Alligator mississippiensis: one gene and its partners. The protein of the gene in region 4 interacts with the protein of the main gene of each other region in a biochemical or structural test. Links are inferred from orthologs where the notes say so. Each region holds a gene or a part of one and is shown on either strand. Other genes may lie near its edges.

Region 1 (7,818 bases), on a different chromosome or scaffold from region 4:
TTGCCAACCACCACCCAGGAGAATAAGGCCTATTGTGTCAGATAGCAGTGGACACAAGATAGTCAGGAAAACAAAGACACTATTCTAGAGTGCCTATTAGGTTTACCTTTTAATGGATAGCCTTTATTTTGCAACTCTTCGGGATTATACAGCCCCAGAACCTGGGAACTATTTAGCGTATGTATATGCTGAAATGGAATTCCCTTACCCTTTCGAATTACATTTATTCATTCAGGGTTTCCTTAACCACACTTTGATTCAGCTACTTGAGAGATGCTTGAAAAAAGTTGGGGTTTTTTTTTTTAGGAGAATGATAAGCCAAAAGGAAGAGATTGGTATTTATATTTAGAACCCTTTAATGCAGTGCCTCCCAACCTTTTTTTGTACCAGGACCCATCTGTAAACATCCATGGCCAGTCCCAACCCAGTGCCCCTCATTCCTGACCCACTGCCTCCTGTCCCCAGTGTGTGGGGAGAAGGAGGGGAGTGTGTGTGGGGAATGGGGACCCCCAAGCAGCCCCTTGAAGGCTGGAACTCTGCCAGTGTGCAAGGGAAAAACCATGGTTTCCCACATTTTTCTCCTTTAAAGGAGAGTTCATCTTGTTGATCCATTTTTAAAGTTTGCTTTTGACCCTTTTATATATTCTTGCAATCTACTTTTGGGTCATGACTCACAGGTTGAGAAACACTGCTTTAGTGGACTAAATGCTTATGTACATTACCTTCAATAACGGCATATGGAACACATTTTCCTGGTGCTTCCCTAAGGATATTCTTCAAGTCTTGGTCTAGATTAACTTTCTTTGCTCCCTATATAAACAGAGAAACACATGGATGAGTAATTATAGACTAAAGGGGTGTTATGTACGAGATACAAGGAAGATTTCCCATTGATGACCAATTTCTGAAGATCATCAACTGGAAGGCAGAAAGGAAGATTTTGAGAAACAAAGGCCAGTTTCCTTCTGTTTCTCAATAGCTTTTTATTCCCTTTTCTTCTCCCATTTTATTATTAATATATTATATTATTAATAATAATGCCTTCTTAGTTATCGCTTTTCATCACATATCAAAGTACTCTATAAAGCAGGCAAGTGTCATCCTCTTTATTTTGCGAATGGAGCAACTGAGGCAGATTTAACACTATAAAGTGACTTGTTAAGGTCACTCAGTGGGCCAATAACACAGCTGGGAATAATATCCAGGAGCATGTCTACATGAGACACTTAATGCACAATAGATGGATTGACTGGGCATTACAGCGTCAAGGCAAAAAATGTACTATTAGGCTAAGGCACACTAGTATTAGCCTACTGTGCATCAGCCATCACGAAAAAAATGTGGGATCATACTAATACGCAGTATAGCAGCCTACTGTGCATTTATTTAGTACAGGCAGTCCTCGACTTGCGTTTCGAGTTACAATGTTTTGTACTTACAACGTTTCTAAATTGACACCCTGTTTCAACTTGCAATGCTTGATCCGATGCAATGCCATGCCAGCAAACAAGTTTGCTGTGTCGCTCATCTCCCGGGAGAACATCTGTCCAAACTTTCTTGGACACTTTAAGAAATCAGACAAGGCTCCAGAAAAGCCTGCAGCCAGAACTCCTGAGAAGGCTCCAACCAAGAGCCCTTCAAAAAGTCCAGTAAAGTCACCTCGAAGATGTCCTTCCGAATCAGTATGATTGCTATTTACAATATAAATATATTAATGTAGCTATATTACTCATCTATAATTGAGCCAGTACAAAATTCTGGGCTATTTTTGGTGGAAATAAGTTATCAGGCCTTGGTGCAGGAACCAATCCCCCATTTATAACATTGTTTGTTATGAGCAGATTGGTTCCAAGTTACGTTTCAACTTAAGATGCAGTTTTCAGGAACCGATTGTGTCATAAGTCCCAGGACGGTCTGTACTTCCTTTTACAAGCCGGCACTGTACATTAGTGAACACGCAGACGTGCCCGGAGCCTCCCAAGTCAGAGCCCTGCAGCCTGGACACTTTCTATCAGCCACTGGGAATGACTTGCATCAATGCAACTGTCTAAACAATCTCAACTCGCTGAGGTTTTTTTTCCTTCATACCAGCCAGTTTATGTTAATACTGTGAAACAGTCCCTACACCAGCGTTAACGTACGGAACGTACAAAAGGAAACACCGCTGGGAACAGAAGAAATGCTCAACTTTCCCGAACAAACCTGGGAGCTAAAAACAAACAGTTCAGACAAGCGGACACGGAGCGTTTCAGTGAAGAGATGCATCCAAATAAATGCTTGTTAAACTGCATATCCCCTCCATCCTTTTAAGATGCTGTTTTTAACACCTTAACGTATTTATCGGGAAGCTTGGCGTCAAAAAAATGAAACTTCCCCGCAACTGACCTTGAGGCTATGGGCCACTTTGGATTTCTGCCGGTAAACCGAGTACAGAATCGCCGTGAGCGCCGAACTGGTGACCAGAAAAATGACCTGGCCTGTCGAGGGGCGCCCCCCGCTCTCCATCACGAGCAGTCGGACCCCGCGGGCGCCTGTGGAGGAGGAGAAAAGGGCGGTTGCTGCCGATCAGCTCGTCGCAGACGAAACCGTGCTCGGGTCACTGGGCTTTGCGGCGGGCGCACAGACCTCGTCGGTGGGGAGCTTGCGAAGACTATGTTGACAGTGGATTTGATCCGAAAATACACGGGGCAGAACCGGGCGCCGTGTTGGGCTGGGATGTGTCCCGGCCCAGAGCATCCGACTGATCCCCCAGGCCGGAGCCGGGGGCGCCGGTTCCCGTATGCCCGGCGGCTGCGGGGTGAGACGAGCTCCGGCGGAGAAACGAGCGCCCCCGAGAGCAGCCGAGCGGCGCCCGCGCACTGCGGCCCGGCTGAGGGCAGGGGCGGGCCGCACCGCGGGGACCCGACTGCCCACGTGCGGGAGGAGGACACGGGGAACACTCACCGCTCCGCGGCCCACCCGGGCCTTCCGGGTAGGCTTTGCTTCCGGCGCCGTCTTATGACGATTGGCTGCGCTCTACCCGCGAGCAGTAGAGTCCTGAGCCAAAGCCATAGAGAGGCAGGCTAGAGGGGACCCCAGACCCCCTCCCTGCTGGGGCTGATCTGTCTGCATCCCCTGCCTACCTTGCCCCAGGGGCTCAGGGCTGGGGTCCTGCCCCTCCTGGCCCTGGCCCTGGCCCTGGCCGTGCTGGCATGGGAGAGTGCTCTGAGCGCACCCTCGGCCATCCTCTTAAGACAAATCTAGGCACCCAAAGCCAATTTTGCCGTGCGGTGTCCATATTTTAGACGTGTCAATCTATGTGTAGAGACAGATGTTCAGAGGGGCTGAGCTGCGAGTCCTGTAGAAGATTATTTGCACCTCCAAAAATGCTGAGGTCCGGTGCAGAAGCCTTCGCCTCTTGCACCAGGCCAAGGGCACGTCACACCTCCGGCCCCAGCACGTTGGAGACACGTGCCTTCCCCGCGTGCTGGGCATGGGCGCAAGGCAAGAGGCCTAGTCAGGGCATCCGTACTCAAGCACTGAACCAAGGGGCTTGGTTTTGCCCACTCCCCTTGCAGGCGTGGGGTGGAAGGGAAATGAAGAGTGCAGGGATCAGCAGCTCTTGGTTAGGAGCCTGGATGTGGCATCAGGTGCCCATGTGAGAAGGGTGAAGCGGGGAGCAGGATGAAGAAGGAAGGCAGCCATGGGCAGATGTTACTCTGGCCATCGAGCTGGATGCAGTCATGCCACACACTTCGCACCAGCATGTATCCTGCCATCCGTGTGCTGCCGTGCGCATCGTTGAAGAGGAAAAATTTCAGGGGCTCATCAAGAAGCAATCAGTCCCATTCCCTTCATTCAGCAATGCTCAACTGGGTCCTGTGGCAGCTTGGGGTGCCTGGAGATCCTTTCAAGGGTGCCGCAGGATGCCACACCATGGTAGCACGGTTAGGTGTGCAGACATGATTTCCGAGATAGACTCGGAGCTTTCAAACAGGAATCTGTCGTGTTGAAACCTTTCCGATCTGCTGGGGTCTTTCTGAGTTTTTTGCAATGGAAGAATTGCTCTGTTATTTTTCAGGCAAGGTTTTTTGAGTAGACGTGATATCTTTTATTAGCCCAACTGAGTAGTTGGAAAAAAACTTAGAAAAAAATTCTATTATTTTTCTGCAGTCAACAAACGAGTGAAAACTCAGAGCTGACATTTTCAGAGGGGGCGTCTCAAACTTATCAAGGGGTGCCTCAAGTCTTAAAAGGCTGAGAACCACCGCCTTAGTTCCACCCCAGTGCAATACTTCTCTGTGCTGCTGCCTTTGTAGCCGCTAGGTGGTGAGAGACTCACACTAATCTGAAAGGTAGAAACTAGCACTAACGTGAAAGAGCCAGGCACAACAAGGATAGGCTGTATATTTTGAAGACACCGTGGCTCCGCTGCAATTCCGGTTTTGATGTCTGGGGAAGTGGCCAGTCCCAGGAGGGGAGCGTGAAGCCAGCAGTTCTCCCATGGCCGCAGCTTTCACTAGAAGGAACTTTCACAGGGGCCCCTACCAGCCACTCTTGAATCGAAATGGCCTGGGCTGCTTGGGATGCTACTATTTTTTCTTGCTTTACAAAACATATATTTCAAAAGAAAATCAGAGCCACTCTGAATGCTCTACTTTTAACACCAAAAGAGAAAATGATGGTGCTTGTTTACCTTAATTCCGTGTTGTAAAGGTAAAGAAAGATATGCAAAATCATATTAGTAGCAATGAACCTAAACCAGTTTTTCTAATTCCTTCAAAGAGGGAATGGGGCCTGGGGTAGATCCTTTGGGATATGCACATAGGTAATTTTCAGTCCTGTTTTACTGAGGTTCCTACGCTATATCTATCACTTCAGTACAGGATCTGAGCACCCCAGGGATGCATATAAGCAGCTATTGTACTGTAGGGCCGCTTGGCAGTCCTTAGGGTATACACATCTGTCATGCAAGTGGCCGCTAGAGGTCACCATCAAGAACAGTTCAAACAGAGTGATGTCTCAAACAGTGATGTCTGGTGCTAAAGGTCCTGTGAGCCCAGCCTGCTGCTGTAGGAGAATTGCCCTGTGATATTTTCATTGTTGATACAATGCTCAGCACTCGTGGAACGCGTTTTGTCTGCAGACCTCAGAGCAAAGGAGAGAAAGTCATCGTGGGCTCTCTTTATTTGAGACAAAGTGGTTAAAAGGTGATGAGTCAAGACTTTCTGAGCCAAACAGACACAAACCTGGCCAGGAACTCTAAACCTCGTTTCCATAGGCTCCCCAGTGCCACATACATGCAATACAGAACTTACTTTCACTCTCCACTCCCATAATCTTCCCTCTGAGCTGTTTGGACTAATGGCTGAATTCTGGTTCCTAAGTACTCCCATGCTCACCTTATGCCCAGTTCCCTGGCAAAATAGGAAACATGGCCTTGATGAAGTGGATGGCAAGTGCACACATTTTTTAAAGTGAGAGTCATCACCCATTGGAGCAGTTTAGCAACAAATGCGGACATTCTCCAACAGTTAGGACCTTTAAAACTAGATTGGATATCATTGATAAAAGAGACACTTTAGTTCAGCCCTAAATGATCAGTGAAGAAGTTCTAGGTTAAAACAACAGTTTATACTGTTTAGGAAGGCAGACTAGGTGATTATAATGGTTTCCTCTGACCCCCAAATCCATATGCCTATGTGTGCTTATCAGTTCCCATGCCTTTTCTTAGTGGATAGAGGTTCTCATCACCAAAGCTTTTGTGAATAACTGATAATCTGTTGGCAACCCCACTGGAAGGGTTAGGAGGTGAAAGGGGCATAAAGATTGAGCCACTCTAGATGTTGCCTCTCCAAATCAATATAAAAGAAGTATGGGGAAAGGCATGGTGCATGCTCTGATTGGATGTGCTGCTTCTTGGGGAGTATCTACTCTCCACCTCGCCCTGTTTAAATTGGCATGGGAGGAAGAGGAGAAAGAAAGAGGGAACAGGAAAAAAATGGAAAAGGAAAGCCTGCTTCTGGCCCTGCTCTCACTCAGAAAGCCACCACATAACTAGCTTCCCAACCATGCCCAGTTCTTTCACCGTCACACCCCTTTGCTATGGAGTGTTTGCAAATCCCTGAGCAAAGTTGCGGTACAGAGCTTGGGTGAAGTTCTTCCCTGCTTGCTTTCATATCCCATGCTGTGCTTCAGAGATCTTGCTCCAGTTCCCCTCTTCTTCTGGTCAGGCCATTCAGGGGGCAGAGTCTAGAGACACTTGGGTCCCTGTGGTACCCTAGGAGCAGGAGAGCTCTGTCACTCTGTGCCCTGTGAGCTGCAGCTGTCAAAAGGGACTTCACTGGGAGATGAGCTTTGAACTTTGGTTAGATGCAAAACCTTCCTGTGCTCACTCAATAAAAGTACGCCCTGCCATTGACAGAGAGGCAGGAACAGCTACATCTAAGCCCACTGGAGAACGATGCCAGTATTCCTGGGTGAGCTTATTTTAAAGCCAGAGGCAGAAAGGGCATGAGCTGACACATAGGGCATGCAGCCCTGCCAGCTGCGGAGACACTGGCTTGAACAGAGTTAGTTACTCACTCAGCTGAGGAGCCTATAGTTTATGCCAGCACTAGCCCTGCAGCTGAGTCACAACCCAGCCCCAGGGGCAGTCACAAAAGGAGCAGTGTGAATGCAGCCTTTGCTTGGATTGTGTCTTGGATTGGGGATAACCCTGTTGTCATTGCACAATGGCCAGTGAAAAGGGTTAGCACAAGAGCTGGCGTCATCCCAGGCATGAGCTCGCCTTCTAGGCTGGTGCATCAGCAGCAAACTGAGCAGCCGCTGCAAATCCCCTGTGCTGGATTGGGATCCCCCTGGATGGCCTTTAATCCTTTCACTGCTGCCCCTGCATTATCCACAAAAGCTGGTGACCTCTGGAGTCCTCTGGTGCAGCCCATATATTACAGTACCGACAGCTTCAGAGATGCCTATAAATCACTCCTGTGTGCAGTGCCAAGACCACTCAGGGGGTGCATGCTGCCTGGATAGACCTGCAACACTTGCCGATCAGAGCTTGGGGTTAAGAGGTGCCTGGTTAGAGATACCCCCCACCACCCTGACTTAGACATGTACCATGGACTCAGAGAGAAGAGTGCTACTCAGCACATCTGGAAACAGCTGGATGGCTCCAGGAAGTTTCTTTTCCAAGGAGCAGCCAAGCCTAACCCTGCTTAGTTTATGAGATGTGACAGGATCATCGTGCTGCATGGCAGCATGTCTGACAAGCTCCAGGCTCCTGACGTTCTGTGGGACGTGAGAGGTCTGCTGAGCTGCACTGGGAAGAGCAGCCGGCAGATGGAAGCACCCAGTCCATGTTGGGGGGTGGAGATCATGTTTTGAGGGCCTGCACCAGTTCACAACTCCTCAGATCACGTCTCCTGTCCACTCCATTCAGTTGAGGCTGTGTATGGGGCTGGCAGGTGCTGGCTGGGACTGCTGAAGTGTTTTGCCACTAGCTAATTCAGTCTTTAGGTGCTGAGAGCTGAGGTGTGATTTCTAAACCACACACACACACACACACACACACACACACACACACACACACACACACACACACACACACACACTCCTTAAACACTAGCTAAATTCTATTTTTAAAGGAAACTTAACCCTTGGAGGGCTGGCGATGAGTCTGCAAACTTGTCTGCAAAGTCATGCAGCCCCAGGACTACATTACAAGCCCTCAGCAAGCTGCCTAAGCCTTCCTGTAGTGAAAGGCTTGAATTTCTACCCAAGACTCCTCTTCCTGAAGTCCCAGCCATCCACCCAAAAACCCTCCCTCCAGCTGCCCAA
Region 2 (7,238 bases), on a different chromosome or scaffold from region 4:
CTTCCTCAGCCAAAGATGGTAAGTTACATGCTTTCTTTGTCTTGCTGTCAAAGAGTTCAGTACCAGACTGATCCTCACGTTGTGGAGGGGAGTGTGCAGCTTCCTGCATTAGGAAGCAAGGGCCAGAGGATGAAGAACAGAGACGGTGTCCTCCCACTAGATTTGTAGATGTTTGTGGTGTACTTTGGGAGTGTGATCACCCTAACATTTATACCTAACAATATCTAGTCCTTCAAGAGCAGGGGTGGGCAGTTATTAGGGCCCAAGGGCCATGTAGAAAGTTCTTGGTGAGCTGTCATAGACCAGATCAGCACCCTCCTCTTCCCAACTGCAACAGTTCACAGCTCCCTGTGTGGCCTGGATTGGAATCTGGGGGTGGCTGGGGCTGGGATCTTGGTGCAGTGATGCAGCAGAGCCAGGACAGTCTCGCAAACTACTCCCCACATGGCCCTACAACAGGCATGGGTTCTGTGGGCAGGGGCATGCATGCAGGGAATGTATGGCTGTTCTGCCCTGGCCCTATGCTGCCACCGCCCTATGATCCTGGGGTCTCTGTGGAGACCAGCCAGGACCCTTGTGGGTAGGGCAGGATGGGAGCTAGGACTGGCCACACATGCCATGGCCTGGGCTGGGCAGGACCAAGGGACCCATCGTGAGCCAGACAGATTCCCTTGGTGGGCCACATCTGACCCACCGGCTGTATTTTGCCCACCCGTTCTAGAGACTCCTCAGTTCTCCAGGAACTAGAGAAAGCAGCCCTTTGAAACGAGATGAATTTGCAAAGCACGTCATAGGCCATATTCCAGTGTATTGCAGACTGCATTGGAGATAGGAAATCATTACAGTGGTTGAGTGAGAGGGGCTAGCCCCATATCTGTTAGCCCTTTGAATACCAGTAAGGTTTAGTATGCAGCAGAGAAAGGGTAGAAGAGCAGCTGAAGCATCTTGCTTTGGTTCCAGAAGACATAAGTTCAGGTGTCCCTAGACTCATGGTGAATGCTGTCCTGAGTTGATCTAGCTGTAAAGGGGGTATGGGTATGTGGTTCTGGGAGGGTGGGGGGTAGTAAAAGCAGCTGGATGTGAAGCTGCCTTTACTACATAACCACTAGTATGGAAGGAAGCTATAGAAATTGGTGTATTTTAAGCATATTTCAGACTCCCCATTAGGCTTGGGTAGACTTAATTTGTGTGAAGGTTCCACAAATATGTGATTTGGAATATACTGCTAGAGGGATCAGTGCTTACATTGAGGAATTCAAACTGATCTCAAAAGCTACAGCTGGTTACAGAATAAGACTCCTGAGGTATAACTGCTCCTAGAACTTTCTCTAATTTTTTGGTAGTAGTATTAGGATCTATTAGGACTTGTAAGGAGAGAGAGCAACCTTGGGACACTTGTCTATATGTAAACCTAAAAGTGGGAATTCCTTGGGGACCCTTTTCTGGGCATGATTCTAATTCAGTAATAGGGAGGATGGCCGCTTGGAGGATGGACTAGAGAATGCAGAAACAATTTGTGGGCAACATCAAACTAGAAAAGTTTGCCAGCTGTCTGGAGAATCAGATCAGAATTCAGAATAATCTTGATAAATTGGAGAAATGGTCAGAAATCATGGTGAAATTCAATAAAGGTACCTGCAAAGTGCCACAGTTAGAAATCAACTGGGGAGTGAACACTTGCTGAAGCAGGAAGGAATCTGGGAAGTTGCATGAAATAAACTTCTGAGTCAATGATGCTGTTGCAAAAAAGCAACTGTAATAGTTAGACCAGGGAGATAACGGGTTTTACTCAGAACATGGGAGCTGGCGAACTGCACTGTTTTGGGTAGCACTCTCAAAGAAAGATGTAAACAAATGAAGGATATTCTAGCAATAAGAATTATGAGGGGTTTAGAAAATATGACCTTTGAGGAAGTTGAAGGTCTAGAAAAGAAGGCTGAATAGGGACATGTCTTGTAGAATGTAAAAGGCTGCTGAAGAGTCTGGTGATGAATTGTTCATCCTGTTGTTTTGGGAAAGGACAAAAAAGTGTAGCTTAACTTGCAGCAAAGTAGATTTATAGTAGATGTGGGGGGTGGATACTAATGAAAACAGGGACATGCTGGAACAAGCTACACATAGGCGGTGGAAGAACAGGTCAAACAAACATTTGGGGATTCTCTCAGTATGGTGGATAAGATGGCCTCTTGCCATTCCTCCAGCGTAGGCCTTTTGGGATTCTAGATTATTGTGGCTTGGGTTTTGGAGTCTTTCCAGTTCCTTGTCCTCTAAAATAACTGTAATTACTCTAAGTTTTATTTTCCTCACTAATACATTTTATCTCTTTACCTTTTCAGGTCTTGAAGTTGTGCCTTGCTTTGCACTCTGAAATTGGCTTCAGCCCTAACCTGCAGTCCTGTCACCTTGCACCCAACTACTTGATATTTAAAATGAATGCATATAGCTTTGTAGTTAATACTGAATTATTGTTTCTGAAGTGGGAGGGGGGTGAGGGTCTTCTTGAAGTGAAAATTCGCTGGCATAAACTCTGATCTGGCACTTAGTTGTCTAGAGCTAAGAATTTGGGCCTTTTGCCCAAATTCACTGAGCTCTCTGAAGAGAGAGAGAAGCACTTGGTTACTAACATAAGTGCATTGTAGACATTAGATACCTTAGTTAGGTTAAAGAACACCTGCAAATACAATACAGGCTTCTTGCTACTTTAAATGATCAGTTACTTTAAAGTAAATCTTGAGATCAAGATCAAAATCCCTGGATTTTATTTGCAATTTATCCATTCTGTGCCTAAGGCATAACAGCAGAACTTATGTTGCAGACTTGAAAGTTGTACTGTCCTGAATCTACTTACCTGCATTGGGGATGGGGTAGGTGTATGCTTAATTGCAGCACATTTTGTCTTGTACATTTTAATAAAATATTGTGAAATATGTTATTTATTGAGTTAGCGGCATCTTGTAGTCTCACGGCACTGAATGCAGTGTGGTGCTCAAACCCTTTAAACTAGTGGTTCCCCACCTTGTTAAAACTAGGCACTCTTTTTAAAAAAAAAGCCAGTTCTTGGCTTTTGCTCAGTTTTTGACTACAACAACAAATAATAAGGGAATTCTTCTGTTTCGGGGAACTTTGGAAGGACTGCAACAGGACAGAATGTTTCTGATGCTATGGATGTGTAGGTGAAGTCTCTGAGCTTCATCTTCTAAATTAGGTGTACAAAAACATGAATGCAAATTTAGAAGTCTGTTTTCCCTAGTTCCCACGTGCCACCAGAACTTGCTAGCATTTAGGCTGGAGATGCAGCAATGAAACGTTACACCTTTAGAAACAGGCCATTTCCTTTGAAAGTTTAAACAAAATGAAATCTGATGTGACCAGGAGCGGATCCAGGATTTCTGAAAACGGTGCAGGAGTAACAACGGATGCTACAGGGGTGGCTGCAACTTACACCGCAGGGATGTCTGCGCCTTCTGCTCCCAGCCTCTGCCCCCATGACTGTGGGCAGACTTCATTTTAGCCCCTAAAGCAGGTGAAAATCCCCTCTTCCCCCATCCTGTTCGAGGCAGTCTCTTTCTGCTTCCCCCTTCCCCACAACTCTCCCACTGCCACTGCTGCATTCTCCACTGCTCAGGGAGCTGCAGAGGCAGCCAGGCTGAGCAGGACCTGGGCTCAGCCAGAGAGGGGGCAGTGGCAACAGCCTGGCTGGAGCAGGTGCAGGCAGGGGGATCCCTGTCCATCCCTGCTGCCCCTGTCCCCCACCCCCAGCTGGGCCCAGCCCTGACACAGCAGGCAAGAACAGCTCGGGCTTCTCACCTCCAACAGTGGGAAAAGGTGCCATTGCACTTCCCACCTACCTGCCCCTTGAACATGACATTTCTAATGAGGTGAAGCTCTGGAAAAGCTTGTTCTCATTAAGCTTACATTTGGGTGATTAAATTGAGCTTGAGGTTCCCCTTCAGTTATTTCATACAGGGATGTCAAACTCACTTCGGGCTCTGAGATGTATCTGGCCTGTGGGGTCCCTTGCAGGCTGGACTTGGTCTTGGTCATGGGGCAACAGTGACAGCAGCCACTGTGGGCATGGCAGCGCTGGTGGTCATTGCAGTGATGGTGGAGACAGTGGCTGCAGGCAAGGCAGTCACTTGCAGTCATAGAGGCTGGCAAGGTGGCTGCAGGCAGCCCATGGCTGTGTCAGACAGCCCCCACTCACTCCATATCCACTGAGGACCTAGGGGTCAGGATTTGGTGCCAGGCTACATCCCCCTCCTAGTCATGCCCAGCAGGCCAGGTATAGCAGCTGTATGTTTTCCACCCCTGATTTAATGGCAGGAGCACTGAAATACTTCTGAAGGACAATGTGAAGCCAGCATTATTGTTACAGTATTGCCAGTCTCTCTAGCTGACCTTCCTATATAATCTTCTGACTTTCCTGATGCCCCTAGATGAGCTGAGTTTTGTACAGCACTTTTAAGATGTTAATTGTTGGCAAAGCATTATCTTAGTTCCCTTAGCCTCTCCCCTGTCAGCAGGCCCTGCTTGTTGGAGCCCCGCGCTAGAGGAAAGGGCAGGGGCAGCACAGCGCACGCTAACTGCCGCTGTGCCTCTTGTCAGCTGCCACCTCCGTCTCAAACAGCCACGTCCGCTGCTGAATGGCCACTGGTCTCCTTCCAGATCACAACCGCATCCTCTGGATCTATCAGACCAGTGGCCATCCTCTTCCAGCCTCCAGGTCTTTTACTGCTGCCCCTGCCCCCGGGCTGTGACACCCCCCCCCGGTCCTTGCCTCCATGCTGCCCGGTTCCAGAACCTTCCCCCAGCCGCTTTCCGGTGGCATGTCTCAGTAACGGCCCCCTCCACCTCCTGCGTCCTCACCGCAGACACACGGGCCTGGCCCCAGGCTCGCTGAGGCCTGTCACCTATGGGTAAGAGCTCCGCCATGGGCTCGCTTAGCCTCGCCCCAGGGTTGGCCGGGACCTGCGCGGGGGAGCATTTACAGAAGTCTGCGTGTGCTTGGGGGGCGTAGGTGCCGGCAGGGGGTGTGCACTGTGAGTTACGATGCCTTTGCAAGGGGGGTGATAGGTGTGCTTTGGGTATGTGTAGAGCAGAGCTGCTGGATGTTGGCCAGTGTCTGGCTCTGGGCTGTCTGACGCTCCCTTTAGCTTTATGCCCAGCAGCTCTGCACGCTGTTGCTGTCTCCTTCACTACGATGTACCGCTGTGAATTGAAGCTTAGCACAGGAGGGGAGGGAGCACAGAGAAGCCGCCTTGATTCTGGCTGCTTTTCCACCCTGCGGCCAAAGCGTCGTGGTGTGACCTGCAGGAAGGCTCAGAGTCGTTGTCACGGTTGATGCACCTGCTGCCATGGGCAGAAGATCAGACCTTGCAGGGCATCTGCCTCCTCCCTTTCCAGTGTGTTTCAGACAGAAAATCCTACACAAGACCAGGCAGGGAAGAAAAATGCAGCCCAATAAGCTGTCATAGGGGTGAGGCATTATAAGGAAAAGAGAAGGGCTAGCTGGAGGGGGGGCACGCGGGTTTCTTGTGTGAGCTTTCACCGAGCCGAGGACAGGAATGACTGAGGGCCCAGTACCTTCACTGTGAAACTCAGCGCAGGACTATTTCTTTATATTTAAAAGCGCGCACGCGTGTGTGTGTGTGTGTGTGTGTGTGTGTGTGTGTTTTTACATAAAAAAAAAATGTCCTGAAGCGTTAAGGATTCAAAGAATCCCATGTGACCAGGAGTATTCAGTACATTTCTGGTTCCACATGTTTGTTGTGGCAGTTCCTCAAAAGGCAATAAAAGCTTACTACTGCTTTGTGGTAGGGAGACTGCTCCTTTAATTCAGGTGGCTGTGACTTGGATTTGCAGTGCTGAAGCTTTAGGGTTCAATTACCAGTGTGGCATGGGAGGGCTTCTTACAGTCATTTAGATCATTTATTAGGGCAGGGATTCCCAAACTGTGGCTGAAGATTGCATCAGTCTAGTTTTAGGACAAAGGTGCATGGTGGTCTGCAATCAATTTTGAGAGCTGACAGTGATTATTAGTCCAGAAAGTTTGGGAGGCTCTAGATTAGGGCAACCAAGATACAAAATGTAGCCAGGTAAAATATAAGTACAGGTTTTGATTTTCAAATAAGACACTTGAATTTTGGGTGCCCAGGGTGAAGGTGAGGGTAGTATGTGAGACTGGGTCTTCAAGAGCAGTGGTTTTCAAGCTTTATAAACTCAAAGCATCTAGGGTGGCCATCATAGAGGACATTCCAGTTTTCTGCTAGTCTGTCCTCTGTCCTCTATTGCTATGAAACCGGATACCTTTACGTCCTCTATTTTTCTGTTGAAGAGAGGGGCCTCAATGGAGGGGCCTCTCTTTTCTTGAAGAGAAAAGTAGAGGGCATAAAGGCATCCGGCTGTGTATCAATAGAGGACAACCAGACTGTCCTCTATGATGGTGTCACAGGCTAGCTGGGCACCGTGACTGTATCAATTCTATCACAGGCCAACTGGGCACTGCGAGGGTATCAGCCACTGGGCTGTTTGGTTCAGTTTCGGATCAAGGAGGCAAAGTTGGGAGTGAAATAAAGGCAAATTTATTATAGCTCTCACACACAACAGTTAACAGAAAGATAAATATGATAAGCAGATAATGCAGTATTAAACAGCTAATAGTAAATAATAACAACAGATAGTAACAACAGATAGAAAGATCAATCTGTCGCAGGCCAGCTGGGCACTGTGGGGGTATCAGCCACTGGGCTGTTTAAAACAACAGATAGACAGACATGGGTTGGCAACTTATTGATAGTCTCTCAATGCCAGGTGATTCCAGCAAAGTCAGGCGTCCCTGATCGATGCTGTTGGAGGGATTACCAGGGAAGATCCCTTGATCAGGATCTGATCCTCACTCACACCAGGAGTCTGGGGTCCGGGCATGGAACAACAATGACCATTCTGTTCCCTCCTTCCTACTGGTCACCTGATGCACGCACTTTTTATACCTAGTCTTATGCTAATCTGTTGGCTTTAGAGCCACTCACAATCTTACCCTCTAGCTGTTACCCTATGGGATTGAAAGGTGTTAAAAATTATCATAAAAGGTTACTACCCAGGCCTGGGTTTATCCAATAAGACAATTACAATGCAGCACCTTTAGGTTTGAAATTGACACTGCTCCGCCTAAGCCCAACCCCTTTTAGGTTTCCCTGAATATGCTTTCTTGGGATGTGCTTTCCTGGAATGTGTTGGGT
Region 3 (7,934 bases), on a different chromosome or scaffold from region 4:
GTGCTGGCTCCTACCCTGGGGGTCTTTAAGAGGAGGCTTGACATCTACCTGGCTGGGGTCATATGAGCCTGTTTTTTCCCTCCTGCTGAGGCAGGGCGTCGGACCTAATGATCTACAAGGTCCCTTCCAACCCTACTTCTCTGAATCTATGAAGCCTGCAATGTTACGGCCAACACTGGAATCACAGAAGTACCATTTTTATCACCGTTCTGTCCAGTCCAAAGGCAGATTGTTCCCCGAAAGATTACTGGTAAATCTAAGCCAACGCTTATATGTCAGATATACAATCTGACCATGTATGAAAGCTTTTGCAGTCATATAGGTAAACCTCCACATGAAATGGCTGGGTAGAACAAGATGGATTATAGAAAAAAAGCACAGTTTAATACCAATAAATGAAGCTCCCTAACATCCGTCTATTTTTCTGAAACGTTCCCTTGTTCTCTGCAAACATGAAAACAGCTCATCAGGTTCGAGTGATTCTCAGCGATGTGAACGTGGAGAAGTCTCGTGTGGATTCAGTACCATCTTCAGGAAAGGTCTTCACTAACACACTGCAGCTCCTGTGACGCAATGATAGAAGGGGAGCGATGGGAAAAGCTCCTGAGACTCTGGGGGAGAAAGGAAAGTGCTCATGGGATATAGGTGAGTCAGAACAATGAAGTAGGCAAAAAGCAGGGGCCCTTTGAGGGGGTTGTGGATGACAAACAGGGCCAGCTTGCTTTTGTTGCAATATTTTAATTAGGAAGGAGCAGGACGCCATCAACAGCAAACCTAGCATGACTCAGCACACAGCAGGCAGGAGCGGGGAAACCCCGCATGGTTTCTGGTCCCCTTCCCTGCTCACTCCTGTTCAAGTTCTCACTGCTCACATTTTGAAGCTTTTCACTACGTGCCCCTCCCGATCTTGGTGGGTGCGTAAAGGAGTCAGGGGCAAAAGTGTTCAGGGCATCTGTGGAACGTGAGAGAAAGCCTCCAGCCCCTAAACCAAGGGCAGGCAATTATTTTGGGTGGAGGCCCGCTTACTGAGTTTCGGCAAGCCATCGAGGGCTGCATGACGGGCAGCCAGGGGCAGATAAATATTAATTTTCTAAATTTTTTAGGGGCCCCGCGGGCCAGATAGAATGGCCTGGTGGGCCGCATCTGGCCACCGGGGCCACATTTTGCCCACCCCTGCCCTAAACAAATCTGCAGGGAACAAGCACCCTCTCTGCACCACCTGGCTAAAGGTTAGTAATAGCCCAAAACAGTTGATGTTGGAGGGCAGTTTGGTGCCTGTAAAAAAACCTGGATGTTTTAAGACCATTTCCTAGCAGATAAGAGCCCAGTTTACAACTGGCCCCTTACACAGCCTCAGGATAGCGGCAAAAGAAGGAAGATACATGCAGAAGGAACTAGAGTGACCTTGTCAGGGAGACCTGGGCAGAGAGGCCCGTGCTATCCATGCTGCCTCTATGCTATGGATAAATAGAAGACAAGTCTATTAGCCATGACAAGCCAGCAATTTTCATCAGTCCCAAATTTGACAGAGGGGAAAAATGGAAAGACTGACGAACTTGTCCCTACTTCCCCCCCACAGTGTTTTCAATGTCTAGCGCTGTTAGCACCGTACATGTGTTTACAAACCTGGCCAAAGGTTCAATGACAAACATCCCACCATTTTCCTGCTCATGTGTTTAAACATTAACTCATTGCTTCAAGTGGGATCATGGACGTAAACCAGTAATATCAGCCAACGTAGGCTACTTTAAACAAAAAGCAAGTCATTCAGACTACTCTAAAAATAAATATTCTTCAGCTAAAAATATGGCATTGGGATTTGAAAATGACAGCTTTTATTTTCAAACACTAAATTGATTTACCTGGAAAGCGGATATATTTTGCAGTCTGAAAAGACATTTTTAAATATTTCCCCATCTAAAAGACAGAGCGAGAGAGATCAGATCTTTTAATTTAAAAAACCATTTAATTAATGACAAGGCCTCTCAAGCTTCTCCATTATCACAGGTTAAGAATGATATCACTAAAATTCAGGGCAGTGGGCCTCCAAAATGAAAGGAAATTAACATTGACCTGATACTAATTGATTTGTCTTTATGTAATTTTACTTGGAAGGTACAGACAGCATCTTCTGCCAGCTGGACTCTTGTCTGACCAGATTAAGAATCCTGTCAACTGTGTCTGATCTGAGAATAGTGCTGCCAACAATCCTGGAAAGTCCCCAAAACGTCATCCTTAATGTCACTGATGTTTATGCTAGCATCTATTTTTAAACCTCCAAATTCAGGCTCAGGAGAGATTGTTAGCTAAGGAATTATTCTAAGCTCATGTAGCATACAAGCCGGCAGGGGATGCTGGATACATGGTTGGATTGCTAACCCACCCTAAAGTTTGCAGTGCCATGTCTTTGCAAGCGTTACCCTATGTAGTGAGATGAAAGCTAATGCCAGTGTACCAGCACTATAATAACATCTGTTTGCCACGTAGACATACCCTTGGAAAGCGTGTATTAAACAAATGGAGAGGTCTTGTTAATTAACATACTCATCTTTTGGATTTCATAAAGCAGACTGGATTTTGGAGGCCCTCCCAACCAGCCGTCCTGACTAATATTGCCTTGTGACCTGATGGGAGCAGTGTAACCGTGTCAGTGCTAAAGGATGCTGGATGCTGTGCTTACGGCAGAACGGAGGTACAGATGTGACCATCTCTGTGACAAGGGCCCTGGGGTATCGTGCTGTAGCACAGCACTCGTGTCTCCATGCTGGAGGCTTGTGGCTGCCGTGTTGCTAAAAAAAAGACGTATCAATAATAGACTCAGTCCTCGGTGTAGGAGGCTCCTGGACGAGGGACAGATGTTGCTGCATTCCACTAATGGGGCTTAATGTTGCTGACAAGCCCCGGATAGCAGAACCGACTGCCAGCTGCTGGAGAGTGCTGCAGACTTGATAAGTCACTCCCAGGTGAAGTGAATCATATTTCCATAACACGAAGTGCTGGAAACAAGTATGTCAACAGTCACGCCTACACGGCCCTGTCTTGTGGTAGAGCTGTCTGTGGACAGCAAACACCCTTGCTTTTTTTCTTCTTCTTTTTTCTAAACACTCAAACCTATGAATTCTTCCATGCTAACGGGTTGGGTTTTTCTCAGTATGCAGGGAAATGGGACATGGAGTGAAGAAGTCCTTTAAGAGCAGGATTAAGCCAACAGGAAGCTGCTGGCCTTCACTGGAGAGAGGAAAAATAATTTGGGAGCTGGAAGGAAAGAGAGGAAGAAAGAGGGGAGGAAAACAGAGTGGTGAACACACAAGGGAGTGCCGGGATGAAAAGGCAGCGGGAGGCAGAGCATATGAACGCTGTGCTCAGTCCTGGTTTCCAAGTCTTGCAAGCTGCTGCAGGATGCAGAGGGGCTGGGGGAGGGGCAGGATCCAGCACACGGCAGCCCCTGCCAGGGCGGATCCAGGGGCGCACCGCTGCACCTGCACCCCTTTCACTTCTGCTCCACCCAAAGTTTCAAACCAAGTACCTGGCCGTGGCACCAGCATTTCTAGTCCGGCAGTTGTCTTCATGGCTCCTTGTCACCTACCTGATCCCTTCCGAACTCTCCAGTCCTCAGGCCTTAACGACCCCTCTCCCCTTCCCAGTGCCCTCATGAACCAGCTATCTGCCCTGCTCCCCGGCACCCAGCTTTGACCTTGCAGCCCCGCAGGCTGGCTTTTAACACCTGCCAGGGCCCTTCCCCTTGCTCCAGCACAGCCCTTGAACTCCAGATTGATTCTGAACGGGACATAAGTGAGGGCCGCGTGGGGCGGCGAGGCAGGAGACAAGAACGGGACACAAGTGGGGACCGCGTGGGGCAGCGAGGCAGGAGACAAGAACGGGACACAAGTGGGGGCCGCGTGGGGCGGCGAGGCAGGAGACAACGGGACACAAGTGGGGGCCGCGTGGGGCGGCGAGGCAGGAGACAACGGGACACAAGTGGGGACCGCGTGGGACGGCGAGGCAGGAGACAACGGGACACAAGTGGGGGCCACGTGGGGCGGCGAGGCAAGAGACAAGAATGGGACACAAGTGGGGGCCGCGTGGGGCGGCGAGGCAGGAGACAACGGGACACAAGTGGGGGCCACGTGGGGCGGCGAGGCAAGAGACAAGAATGGGACACAAGTGGGGGCCACGTGGCGCGGCAAGGCAGGAGACAACGGGACACAAGTGGGGGCCACGTGGGGCGGTGAGGCAGGAGACAACGGGACACAAGTGGGGGCCACGTGGGGCGGCGAGGCAAGAGACAAGAACGGGACACAAGTGGGGGCCACGTGGGGCGGCGAGGCAAGAGACAAGAACGGGACACAAGTGGGGGCCACGTGGGGCGGCGAGGCAAGAGACAAGAATGGGACACAAGTGGGGGCCGCGTGGGGCGGCGAGGCAGGAGACAACGGGACACAAGTGGGGGCCGTTTGCCCCTCACCCTGTGCGCCCCTTTGGCGAAATTCTCCAGCTGCCCCCAGCACCGGCATGAGGCGTAGGGTGGCCATTGTAGAGGACAGTCCGGTTGCCTTCTGCTGATGTGAATCTGTCCGCCTGTATGCACTGGGAGGTGTGGAGGGGCACGTGCCCCCCCCAGAGAGGCTCTGCCCGTGCTGGCAGTGGTGCCCGCGGGCAGATGGTGACTGCTCCACCATGGCCGGGGCACGCGCGGCCCGTGCCTTTGTGCGCTGTTTCCCTGTCGCAGAGCCCCGGCCCCGGCCCCGGCCCCGGCCCCGGCCCCCCGCGCCCAGGCTGGGACCCGGCGAAGCCACCCCGCCCGGCCGCTCCCCGCTACTGCCCCCGGGCGGGCGGGCGGTGCGGGGGCTGGCCCGAGGGGGCGTGGCCGCGCAGGCCCCGCCCCCGGCGCTATAAGGCGGCGCGGCGGCGGCCTGCCCGCAGTGTGCGCTGCTCGCGGCCGGCTCGGGGCGGGTGGTTACAGTCGGTGCTGCGGGGCCTTGTTGCTGCGCCACAGGCGGAGGCGGAGTTGGAGGCGATGGCGGCGGCGGCGGCGGCGGCGGCGGTGACGGTGAAGGCCTACCTGCTGGGCAAGGAGGAGGCGGTGCGCGAGATCCGGCGCCTGGCCCTGCGCCCCCCGCTGCGCTACCAGCCGCTGCGCGACCGCCTGGCCGAGCTCTTCCCCGTGCTGCTGCGGCCCGGCGCCGGCGCGGCCTGCCGCCTGCACTACCGCGGTGCGTGAGTGACCCCTCGCGCCGGGCCGGGCCGGGCCGGGGAGGGCCGGGGGCCCGGGCGGAGGGGCCTGGCCGCCCGCGGGGGTCGCTCACTGGGTTTCTCTCTCGCAGATGAGGACGGGGACATGATCGCCTTCTCCAGCGACGAGGAGCTGGAGCTGGCCTGGCCCTACGTGAAGGACGGCATCTTCCGCGTCTACATTAAAGGTAACTTCTTTTTCCCCCCCTCTTCTCGAGAGAAGCCTGGAAACATAGGGCGTGTCGTGGGCGCGCCGGATGCAGCCGGACCCCGACTCAGTCAGCGCGGGGCTGCCCATGTGCCTCCTCTTCCCGCGAACAACTGCCGGGCGACGGTGGATCCAGACGCTTGGCAGGTGTCGTGGCTGTGGAGGCTGCAGCCTCCGGGCACGGCTCGGTGGGGCTGGACGGTAGATCTAGCGCGGCGATTTGAGACGCGCGGGAGCCTCAAAGGGGGAGCGAGACTTGCCTCTTTCGGGAGGGAACAAATACCTCGCCAGGGGAAAGCAGTGTCATTTGGAAATGTGAAGCCCCAAAAACTTTTTGGGCCCCTTAAGTCCAGAAAACTGAAAAAAAGAAACAAAACCGAGTTTAGCTTTCTGCAAAAGTAAATGGAGAACCTCCTCCCAGTTGAGCGCTGTCTTCAAACTATGGTTAATAATAATACTGATTATTATTTCATGTTTCTCTGGATAATAATATAACTCTGATGTTCACCTATTTCAGAGAGAGAAACCTTGGGGGCACGTAATCTGCTAAAATTAGATTGTTTAGCAGTGCTAGAAACTAGCAATACAAGTAATACCCATACAAGCTAGCGGGGCAAGGGCAGCTTCTTCCTCAGTGCAGCGTGGACCGTGTCCAGTGACACAATCCTGTCCAAAAAAGTGTCTCCACAAGGAGGATGTACGCTTTCTTGACTTAGTCTTTCTGGCTTTGTTTCATGTTGCCCTCTTCAGCGTTGCGTTTCTTCCCCAGCTCTGTGCTTGCTGCTGGCTGGTCCCCAGATACCCGAGCATTGTTGAGGGCGTGCGTAATGCAAATGACCCATAAGCTGGCATCGTGGACACATTCGGCTCGTGTGGTCCGTGTACTAATGAACTCCAAATGTAGAAAGCTTTGCTGAGTCTTGTTTCCTAAAGGCTTAAAATAACCTGGCAGCTTCCTTGTAACGTAGAAACTCTCACTCTTTAGAGAAAAAGGAGTGCAGGCGTGAACATCGCCCACAGTGCAGCCAGGAGCAGCCCCCAAATGTGGTGCATCCCAACGTCATCTGCGATGGCTGCGAGGGACCGGTGGTGGGCGCTAGGTTCAAGTGCACTGTCTGTCCAGACTATGACCTGTGCAGCACCTGTGAGGGAAAAGGCCTCCATAAGGAGCACAACATGGTCATGTTCCAGAGTCCGTTTGAGGTGAGCAGTGTTTCTGCTGTGGAGAGGGACTGGTGCAGGGGGTGTCCAGAGGAGTTTGCAATTCCAGATACTGCATGTAGTTGCATGCTGTTGTGTGACTTGTGTCCAGGATGTAATCCAAGTATGGGGTCAAATGACACTGCAACTTCTTTCAGTGGTTCCCACGAGGTCGCTGGCTACGTAAGATGAGGCACGGTGCTCCTCCCTTTGCCTGGATGCATAGCTGGGGGTATCCAACTCCTTCAGCTCCGTGCCAGAACTCTGGGCAGGAGCAAGCCAGTACGGCACCGGAAAATCCAGCCCCTGAGCAAGGTAAGAAGGGAATGCTCTGCTGAATGAAGTGCTCGGACTAGTAAAGGTTTGATAAGTTGTTGCTGCTGTGGAGTGGGCTGGAGTCTGTGTTGGATGGGAGTGGGGAGGAAGCGCTAGGTCTCCATTTCGAATGCAAACCTGCTTGAATTGCACTTCCCTTGGATGGTGGGTGGAATGGGTTGTCTAAGCCTGCCAAGACCCGGCTTTTTCATTCCCTTGAGGAAAGTGTGCGTTTGGCACCTACCTGCTGTCTTGCATTAACAGAAGTTGTTTTTTTTGTTTTTAGAGCCCTCTACTAACAGCCAGCCTCAGGACCCCAATGTCACCTTCCTAAAGAATGTCGGGGAGAGTGTTGCAGCCTTTCTGAGTCCCCTGGGTAAGTGACTTTTTTTAACTCGCAGTTCTCAAATCCAGTGTTGGGGCTTGCTCCTATCTTGTACCAAGAGGAACAGTGGCATGCCTCTGCTCTAGAAGACATCCGAGCCATTTCTGGCTCCAGTCTCCCCATAAGGACCCAAGGGTGTCCTTTCTTGCAGAAGTATACTACACAGTGGTAAAATGATAGCATTTAACTGGGAAGAACCTTGAGCTAACTAGGTGACTTAAGGCTGCATCTAACTCCTGTGTTAGTGCATGTAACAGCTGCTTGCTCATCCTTTTAAATGAGAATGGAGAGCAGCTTTTTCCTGGCACAGGAATGGCTGGCATGTGCTTCACTTAACATAAAAGCACACTGAAAGCTTTCTTTTTTAAATTTTTAAATCCCCTGCAGATGAGAAATGTCAAACAAAATGATAACTTGCTGTTTGAGTTCAGAATAACTAGATTCCAATGAATGTGCTATCTTTCAGGGGACTTCCAAGTCTGTAGCTTGTATGCTAACTTACTGATTGCTTTTCCCTCTGCCTGGTTTCTTAGGCATTGAGGTAGATATTGATGTGGAACACGGAGGACAAAGAAGCAAAGTGACCCCCACCTG
Region 4 (7,668 bases):
TAAAACAGATACATTATCCCTACATTAAAACAAGCCCAATCAGTTGCTGGGTACTCCATGCTGTGTATTTAGTGATGTTTCTTTAACATTTTCTGCCATATTTCTGGTCCTTTGACACAAGAGTTGTTTTCTAAACTCAGAAAATCTTTTAGCAGGAACTGGAATTTTCTGGAATTTTGGATAAAAATAAATCAAGAAAAGACTAGTTGAGTGATCTAGTGTGACAAACCCATCTTCTTGTTGTGTTTTGCAGCATTTTTATTCTATCAACAATTTTCCATAACAAACTCTGGATGTCTGAACCAACACTGTTGCAAGCCTATTCTGTTGTTCTGTGGCTTCTACTATTAAGTGGACATATTTTCTGTCTAAACTTCCCTTTTTTAGCAGTGCTACAAGGGCCTGAAGCTACATTGGAACTAGAAGCAGCCATCCACATTACCGTGGTCGAGAAGGCACTCAGTTTTCATTCACTACACTCAGTTGCCTTTTGATCCCTTCTAAACTTTTCATTCCACAGGTGTTAATGACCCTCTCTTCTTTTCAATAGTCTTGATGTTCTACCAATCAAGCTAGCTTTTGTTCTGCAGTTCTGCTGTATGTTAGCTGCTTCTGGTAATGAAGCTCCTGTTTCACAGCAGTGCAAATTGTTTTTAACTTATTCCTATGAGTTGTATTTGTTTTTTCTTCAATCTTAAACAGAATAATACAGCCCTAGGCCCCTAGCATAGTAGTAAAGCTTCTAGTTTATTTTTAACTGTAGAAAAATATGTATTGTGTTATATGGGTTGATGCACCTCACCATCTATAACCCCTTTTCAAAATCCACACGTGGTAGGATGGTACAAGAAAAATCTCTTGAGCAGGTACTCAGGAACTCCTTTATGATGAGCTAGAGGCCTCTAAGCCACCTGTCATATTAAAGCCATTACCTATTTGTTTTATTGTTTATGGCAGAGGATAGGGGAGGGAATCAAAGGTTATTTCTAGATTTAATAGCAGATTTAATAACAATTACAGCAGGCTGAAAAGGCATATAGGGACTAGCCAAATTACATGAATAACAATCCCACTACCCAACAGCTTATTAAGACTGTCTTTTAATTGAATCCAGAAATTGTAACTATTCCCACTAGCATGTTTTTATTGCTGCCTGTCATCAAATGTCTTATGTCAAAGGTCTGCAACCACTCACCTGTGCTAAGTACAAATCTATATTAAGCCTCACCCTGTAAACCATTACCTGTGAGTGCTCTCACTATTATCAATTAAATACTAAATATTAATTATTTTAAAAGTTAACAAAAGTACAGTTTCCTTATTAGTCTGAAGGGTAAATTAATTGGGAGGGCGGGAAAGGGAAGGACATGTTTTCAGTCTGAATAATCTTGTATAAATAAAAATATTCATGATTTTAGTGCATTTAAATTATCAAGCATTGTGTTAACAGTGTTTTACATTACATTTTTTTTAAATTGTGGCTGTTAGTTATAGGTTTAATTCACCATGTACATTGTGTGCTCAGTAATTATTTTATTAAACATTCTCAAGATTTCATTCCATGCACTTGATTTGAAAACATATGTTTTTAATATAAATACTGAAATAAGAAATTTAAGTAGCATGACTTTTTTCATGTTCCATTTTCACTCTTTACTATGTTACATAAAGATTAACAACGTAAGTCTGCTATCCCAAATAGGGCTATTCAGAAGCCAGTCAACTTTCAGAAAGGGACCATTTTATAATTTTTCATGAAAAATGTGATTGCTTGTGTGTGGTCCAACAGCCAATTGAAATAGTTTGGCAGAGTCATTAAGACTTAGGATCATAGGAAAACAGGGCTGGAAGGGACCTCACGAGGTCATCTAGTGTAGCCCCTTGGTCAAAGCAGGACCCCACTTACCCTTGGAGTCAAAAAAGGGTGGGAAACACATGAAGTCTGAAAATTAATTAAGAGGGACTGTGGGGCACTTCAGTCACAACTGTCTACCTCCTCTAAGGAATGACAATGTGCTTTAATGGTTTAAAATAGCAGTTGGCAACCTTTTTGGGCTGCGGGCCAAAACAACACATCTTGGATCACATGCAGGTAGGTGAGTGCTAGGACCTGACCACTGCCACTGTTCCTCCCTGCTGTAGCAAGGAAGAAGCCTCTCCCACCAAGTGTTACTGATGCCCCATGTCTACGAGCTGGGCTCTGCCGCCCAGATCCAGCCTGTAGGCCACTGGTTGCCAACCCCTGGCTTAGAAAGCTGTCAACACTAATAAAAGACTGGTTCAGGTCAGTTCTGTGGAATATCGTAATTATATGGTATAGAGCAGGGGATGTTAACCAGGGGTACACGTACCCCTCAGGGTACTTGGGAAGACCCCAGGGGGTACATGGCAGTGGCGCAGAGAAGCAGGGGTACTTGGGAAGCATGGCAGCGGACTTCCTAATACCCCCGCTTCTCTGTGCTGCCATCACATACCCTGGAAGTGCGCCGCTACGTGCTGCTCATTGACCAGCAGTGGGGCTCCAGCCCCCCCCCCTCAACTGGCCGCAGGGGGACACCCCCCTGCCCATCCAGGGGGTACAATCCATGAGGGGTACCCACCAGAAGGGGTACACTCCTTAAAAAAAAGTTGAAAACCACTGGTATAGAGACTGATTTAAAAGTGGGATAACAGGAATGATATGAGACCTACACTGGGCATGGAAAATAGTTATCATACAAGATACATATCCTCTGCAACAAGTAGAATCTTTCTTATGTTTGACAGTACTATTACAGTAATACTAAAGTCAACACAACAAAAACAAGCTCAGATTCATAAAATAATATGGCTGCTTGGCTTTGTTTCTCAATTATGTATCCTTGCTATTTCTCAAGACTATATTTACTAGCGGTGTGCAAAGCAGATAGCATTCAATTCGGATTCTGATTCTGCCAGATTCGGGGGACAGTGATTTGGTTCACTGATTCAGATCACCATCCCGATTTGATTTGGCCCAATCTGAAGATTCAATTCTGATTTGGAGAATCAGCGATTAGGCCATATACAGTTTTGTGTTTTTATATACGTTTTATACGTACCTCAAGTACTAGGCGCAGCTTGTGAATGCCAAGATGGTGGGGCGGATGGAGTGTCCCATGGAACCGTGTGGGGGGGTCCCACACATGCTCAGAGGTAGTCCACTTCCAGGTCCACCGCCAAGCGCGTGGGGGACCTTGCCGTGCCCTCCCGGCTCAGTGATCCGCCACAGGGGACCCTGGGTGCCCCCTTAGACCCAGGAGTCACCAGCTGCCGAGCCAGGGGGCCGGGGGGGTCCCCTGTGTGCTCCACAGCGAACCTGGAAGTGTACCGGATGTACTTCTGGTCCACTTAAGAGTCTGCTGCCAACCACATGGGGGACCCCTCCTGTGGGATGCTCCATCCACCTCACCATCTCAGTGTTCAATACCTGCACCTGGTACCTCAAGGTATGTAGAAAAAACATATAAAGCTGTATCTGTGGCCAAATAATTGAATCTCTCCAAATCAAATCAGAGGCTTCTGATTCAATTCTGAGAGATTAAAGGGTCTCCTGATTCGATTCAGAGATTCGGTCGCTGAATCAGGCCGAATCGAATCAGCCACCAAAGCTTCGCATAGCCCTACTATTTATTAATAACTAAACCTCTCTTCATTGCCTTGAAAGAGTCCCCTACTCTAAACTTTCCCGTTGTTTGTCTTTACTTTCTTACGTGGTTGCTGCCTTACCTAAGTACCTTGAGGCTCCTCCTTTGAGATCTAATCATAACTAAGCTTGCACAAAGGAAATTACACAATTCAGAGCTGAAAACACCTTCGTTAATGGATTTTTGTTTTTCCAGTTGCCTACACCAAGAATTGAGAGACTGTGACAGAGCACCACCACTGATGAAGCCAGATAATCAATGGGTGTGGAAACCCCCTTCCCCAAAAGAGTCCCACAAGTTTTGACGCATCCTCTGGATCTGCAGCATCCCATGGATCTAACGTTGAAAACCATGGTGCTGCCTGTAGAACAGCACTAGGTGAGCCAGTGTATCTCTGGGTTTATCATCATTATTCAGACAAGGTCCTTTGGGCCATTCTGCCATCTGTTATTAAACCAAACAGTTGGAAAAATTCTTCTTTGCACGCTTTTGGATACAAACTCCTTTTGTCAGGCTGAGGGAGCATCTGGTTACAACCTCTCTCTCTCAAACATGGAAGTTATAGCAATTCAGCATTTTTGGCATTTCTCTGGTGAGGCTGTAAAAAAATAAGCCACACCTCAAGCATCACGTCTTCTCTAGTCCCGAGGCCTTGTGCGTGCCTCCTTCTACCTTAAAGTCCCATTTCTGGCTTCCTGCCTAGTCTGGAGCCCCTGCCTCGCCACGTGTCTCACACAATTCACTAGTAAATCACGCACTAAGTTGAGAGCGGACACACGTGCGGGCAAAGCAATTCCCAGGCCACATATACGAGGAACCCGCCCTCAGGTTAGTACCTGAGACCATACGACCGCTCTGCAGGTGGCACCTCCCCGTTTGAACTAATCCACTTCCGTCCCCCCTCATCCTTCCGCCTGACTCTCTCGCTCGGAAAAGCACTCTGGCGGAGGGATACGAGCACGCCGCTCCCAACGCAGATCCGGCAGCGGGCGCCATTTTGGGCTCCCGCACACGCTGACGCACGCACGCACGCAGGGGGTGGGGCCTAGCTCGTGGCGGCACGCGGGGAGCCGGGACGAGCCTTCGCTCCGTGAGTGTCTCAAGAGTCGCGGAGCCGATCTCCCCCTCCCCCTCCCCCAGGGAGCCGGGACTGCCCCTCCCGTACAAGCTTCTTCCTGCGAGGGGTGGAGGTACGACCCCCCCTCTTCCCCTCGGCCAGGTCAAGGCAGGGCAGCGCTGGGCAGGGACAGGAGCGCGGGCGCTCGCTCTCGCGAGACCTCCTTCCCCGCCCCCCATGAGCGTGCGAACAGCGCGTCACCCGCGCCCTTGTGGGTCTGCGTGCTCGGAGCCTCACATTCCCCCCGCGCGTGCGCAAAGTCCTCCGCCCGCGGCGGCGGTTGGCCCCCCCCCGCCGTTTCCCCCCCCCCATTCTGAGGGGGGGCGTTGGCGGCCACTGCTGGGCCCGCCCCGCGGCGGGGAGGGGCGGGAGGGGGGGCGGTGCCTGCACGAGCCGTGGCCCCTCCCGCTCCCCCTCCCCCTCCTTTCGGCCTTGCACCGGCGGCGGGTGCAGCGGCTGCACTCGCGCTCTCGTGCCGGGTCGGGCTGGGCAAGGCAGGGCCGGGCCGGCCTCACCACTGCTTCTCTCGCGGGCGCGTTGTGTCCGCAGCGGCGGGAGGGGCTGCGCCGTGCGGGCGCCCCTGGCTGTTTCCGGAGGAAGGAGAAGCGGCCGCGTCACCCAGCGCGAGCCCGGCGGCGGCGCGGAGCATAAGCGGAGGCGGAGGCAGGCCCGGCGGCGGCACCCGCACCCACAATGGCGCTGAAACGCATCAACAAGGTGAGGAGCGGCCGGGCCGGGCGAGAGGCTGCGGCTTTGTCTCGGTCCCGGGAGGGGGGCTGGCGCCGATGTCGCTGCGGCGACTCCGGGGCTCGACGGAGGTGTCGGCAGCAATTCCCCTTGGCCGGCCCCTCGTTGAGGCCACGGCATCTCCCCCCACCCGTTTGGGTCCCATTTTACAGGGTGGGGCCGTTTTCTGTGGGCTCCGGCTCTTCCGTGGCCGGCGGGGCCTGTACCCCGTGCGACTCGCCCTTCGCTTCTGGCCTGTAACTTCTTTCCCGCATTGTAAGATGGCGGCGGGTTCGCCCCGTTCAGGCTCTTTCCGGGATCTCTGGCTTTCTGCAATAACATGACACGCACACACACCATGCACACGCACGCCCGGCCGCTGTGGCGCGGCAGCTGCGGTACCCGGGCACTGCTGGCTGTTCTGCTCCCCCAACAACCCCGCTCTGGCCTGGCCTGTGTTCCTCGCCTTGGAAGAGCCTGCGCTGCCTTCACAAGGGGCGGAAGTGTTTGTGTGCAGTACGGAGGATGGCATTGCTCAATCCGGCTGGGTGGAGTGATATACGTGTGTGTATAAATATTTTTTAACAGCTAATGCGGAAAAAAAAGTCATAGGGCCATATGTTTAAATCACTTCCAGAGAAAAAGTTTTAGTGGCACAGTGGGATTTAGGGAGCTCTGTGATGCTCTCCTGTTTCAGGGATGTTCTTGTGCAGTGCAGCAGCCAAGTTCCCAAATGAGGTATCCCATGATTGAAGCAGGATGGTTTTAAAATATGCTAAATTTTGGGGTGGGGAGGCAGAAATATTTGCTCCTCCTCATTTTGAGCCTGCCAAGAAGGTAGAAAATCATAGTATCCTGAATATTCTGGAAGCCTTTTCTTGGGCACTTCTCAAGTACTATAGTGCTGTCATTATTTGATGTTACACATCATAATAGTGGTGTCTTGATTGACTAGTTTGACTAAAATAAGGACAAATGAAGCTTGTATCCTATACCTCGCATCTAATGTTGAATAAAGCCCTTAAAAATGTAAAAGCTCTTAAAATCACTGCAAGTAGAAAGTGTGGACTTGTATTACAGCTACAGTATTTAAATAATTTCAGAAAAACAATTCCTGGTGAATCTGCCATCAAAACTTGTTCCCCTTGCATTAGTGGATATTATTAAAACAGGCTAAGGGACTCCCTGGTGTGCTTTGTCATCAACTTGCAGTAAAATGCATCTGAAACTCAGGCGTCTGTTCACAAGAATAATTTATGGTCAGGTGTATGCCAAGGCAGGCTCTCAAATGTGTAGCAGATCTGATATTTAAAACATTTAAAAAAATAAAACATAACTTTGTTTCAAGAACTCTATGTAGATTATAAGCTTTGTGGAGCAGGGACTGTCAGCTACTCAGGTCAGTGTCTTGTTCTTGGTTGGTTTTTTCCACTACTGGAATCGGTTATACAATATCCAAGGCCACTGTTTAGGACTTTTAGTTTTGGTATAACCAGACTTAAGTTATGAGGTATACCTGTAAAGTGATGTTTTGTTTGCATTTTTTACTTTTGTTTTTAAGATTCTCTATCTCAGAAAGTTAAAGTTTATAGCAGGGCTGTTGTGCTTCTTGGGCTTCTGTTGGGCTGACACATCAATTGCTCTGACTGCAACACAGCCAGAGTCCCTGGGTTCCCCCTCCTTTCTCCATCTCCTGCTTCCTATCCCTGCCCCAGGCGGTGGGGCAGTGCAGTTTGGCTTGGGGAGCTGAGGGTGAACCTGGTGCCATGTGAGTGCACAGTGCAGCTGTGGGGAGGGTTCACCTGAGTAGGTGCATGGTGCAGTGGTGGGGAGGAAGGGGGGAAACATCTATGTAGCATGTGACCCAGGGGACCTGTGGTTGACTCATGCGGCCCCCAGTACCTCAGAAGTTGGTCAGCCTGGTTTATAAGTATCCAGTTATCCAGGTACTAAGACTGCACGCTGCTTTCACCAAAAGCAGTGCTTTCCAATACAAATGGCTCAGGTTTGACAATAAAGTGTAGCAAAAAGAGTTTCTTAATGAGAATGATATGAATTAAGGATCTGCTTCACTACCCACCAGAGCCAGAGATCGGTGTTGTGTCATTGGAAAAGTGGAATCTCCAGACCTTGAAACTCAGTGCTTCCTTATACCCTTCT

The links.
Region 1: the proteins of UBE2D3 (region 4) and MUL1 form a complex in vitro, tested with the Homo sapiens proteins (3 studies listed by BioGRID). The link is inferred for Alligator mississippiensis from reciprocal best matches to the Homo sapiens genes UBE2D3 and MUL1.
Region 2: the proteins of UBE2D3 (region 4) and TRIM69 form a complex in vitro, tested with the Homo sapiens proteins (2 studies listed by BioGRID). The link is inferred for Alligator mississippiensis from reciprocal best matches to the Homo sapiens genes UBE2D3 and TRIM69.
Region 3: of the proteins of UBE2D3 (region 4) and SQSTM1, one has a biochemical effect on the other in vitro, tested with the Homo sapiens proteins (2 studies listed by BioGRID, with this or other methods). The link is inferred for Alligator mississippiensis from reciprocal best matches to the Homo sapiens genes UBE2D3 and SQSTM1.

What each region holds. Positions count from the first base shown.
Region 1 is NC_081836.1:5,457,892-5,465,709, forward strand, and holds the start of MUL1 (mitochondrial ubiquitin ligase activator of NFKB 1), read right to left. Parts: upstream 3,018-7,818; 5' UTR 2,944-3,017; intron 2,929-2,943; exon of another isoform or gene 2,532-2,928; 5' UTR 2,506-2,531; coding exon 2,386-2,505; intron 811-2,385; coding exon 723-810; intron 1-722. UniProt on the Homo sapiens protein: Exhibits weak E3 ubiquitin-protein ligase activity. E3 ubiquitin ligases accept ubiquitin from an E2 ubiquitin-conjugating enzyme in the form of a thioester and then directly transfer the ubiquitin to targeted substrates.
Region 2 is NC_081834.1:40,909,078-40,916,315, forward strand, and holds the start of TRIM69 (E3 ubiquitin-protein ligase TRIM69), read left to right. Parts: upstream 1-4,221; 5' UTR 4,222-4,916; intron 4,917-7,238.
Region 3 is NC_081832.1:74,667,540-74,675,473, forward strand, and holds the start of SQSTM1 (sequestosome-1), read left to right. Parts: upstream 1-4,930; 5' UTR 4,931-5,017; coding exon 5,018-5,213; intron 5,214-5,324; coding exon 5,325-5,420; intron 5,421-6,425; coding exon 6,426-6,643; intron 6,644-6,798; coding exon 6,799-6,955; intron 6,956-7,241; coding exon 7,242-7,331; intron 7,332-7,873; coding exon 7,874-7,934. UniProt on the Homo sapiens protein: Molecular adapter required for selective macroautophagy (aggrephagy) by acting as a bridge between polyubiquitinated proteins and autophagosomes.
Region 4 is NC_081825.1:163,317,327-163,324,994, reverse strand, and holds the start of UBE2D3 (ubiquitin-conjugating enzyme E2 D3), read left to right. Parts: upstream 1-4,664; 5' UTR 4,665-4,755; intron 4,756-4,774; exon of another isoform or gene 4,775-4,855; intron 4,856-5,197; exon of another isoform or gene 5,198-5,331; 5' UTR 5,332-5,475; coding exon 5,476-5,499; intron 5,500-7,668. UniProt on the Homo sapiens protein: Accepts ubiquitin from the E1 complex and catalyzes its covalent attachment to other proteins. In vitro catalyzes 'Lys-11'-, as well as 'Lys-48'-linked polyubiquitination.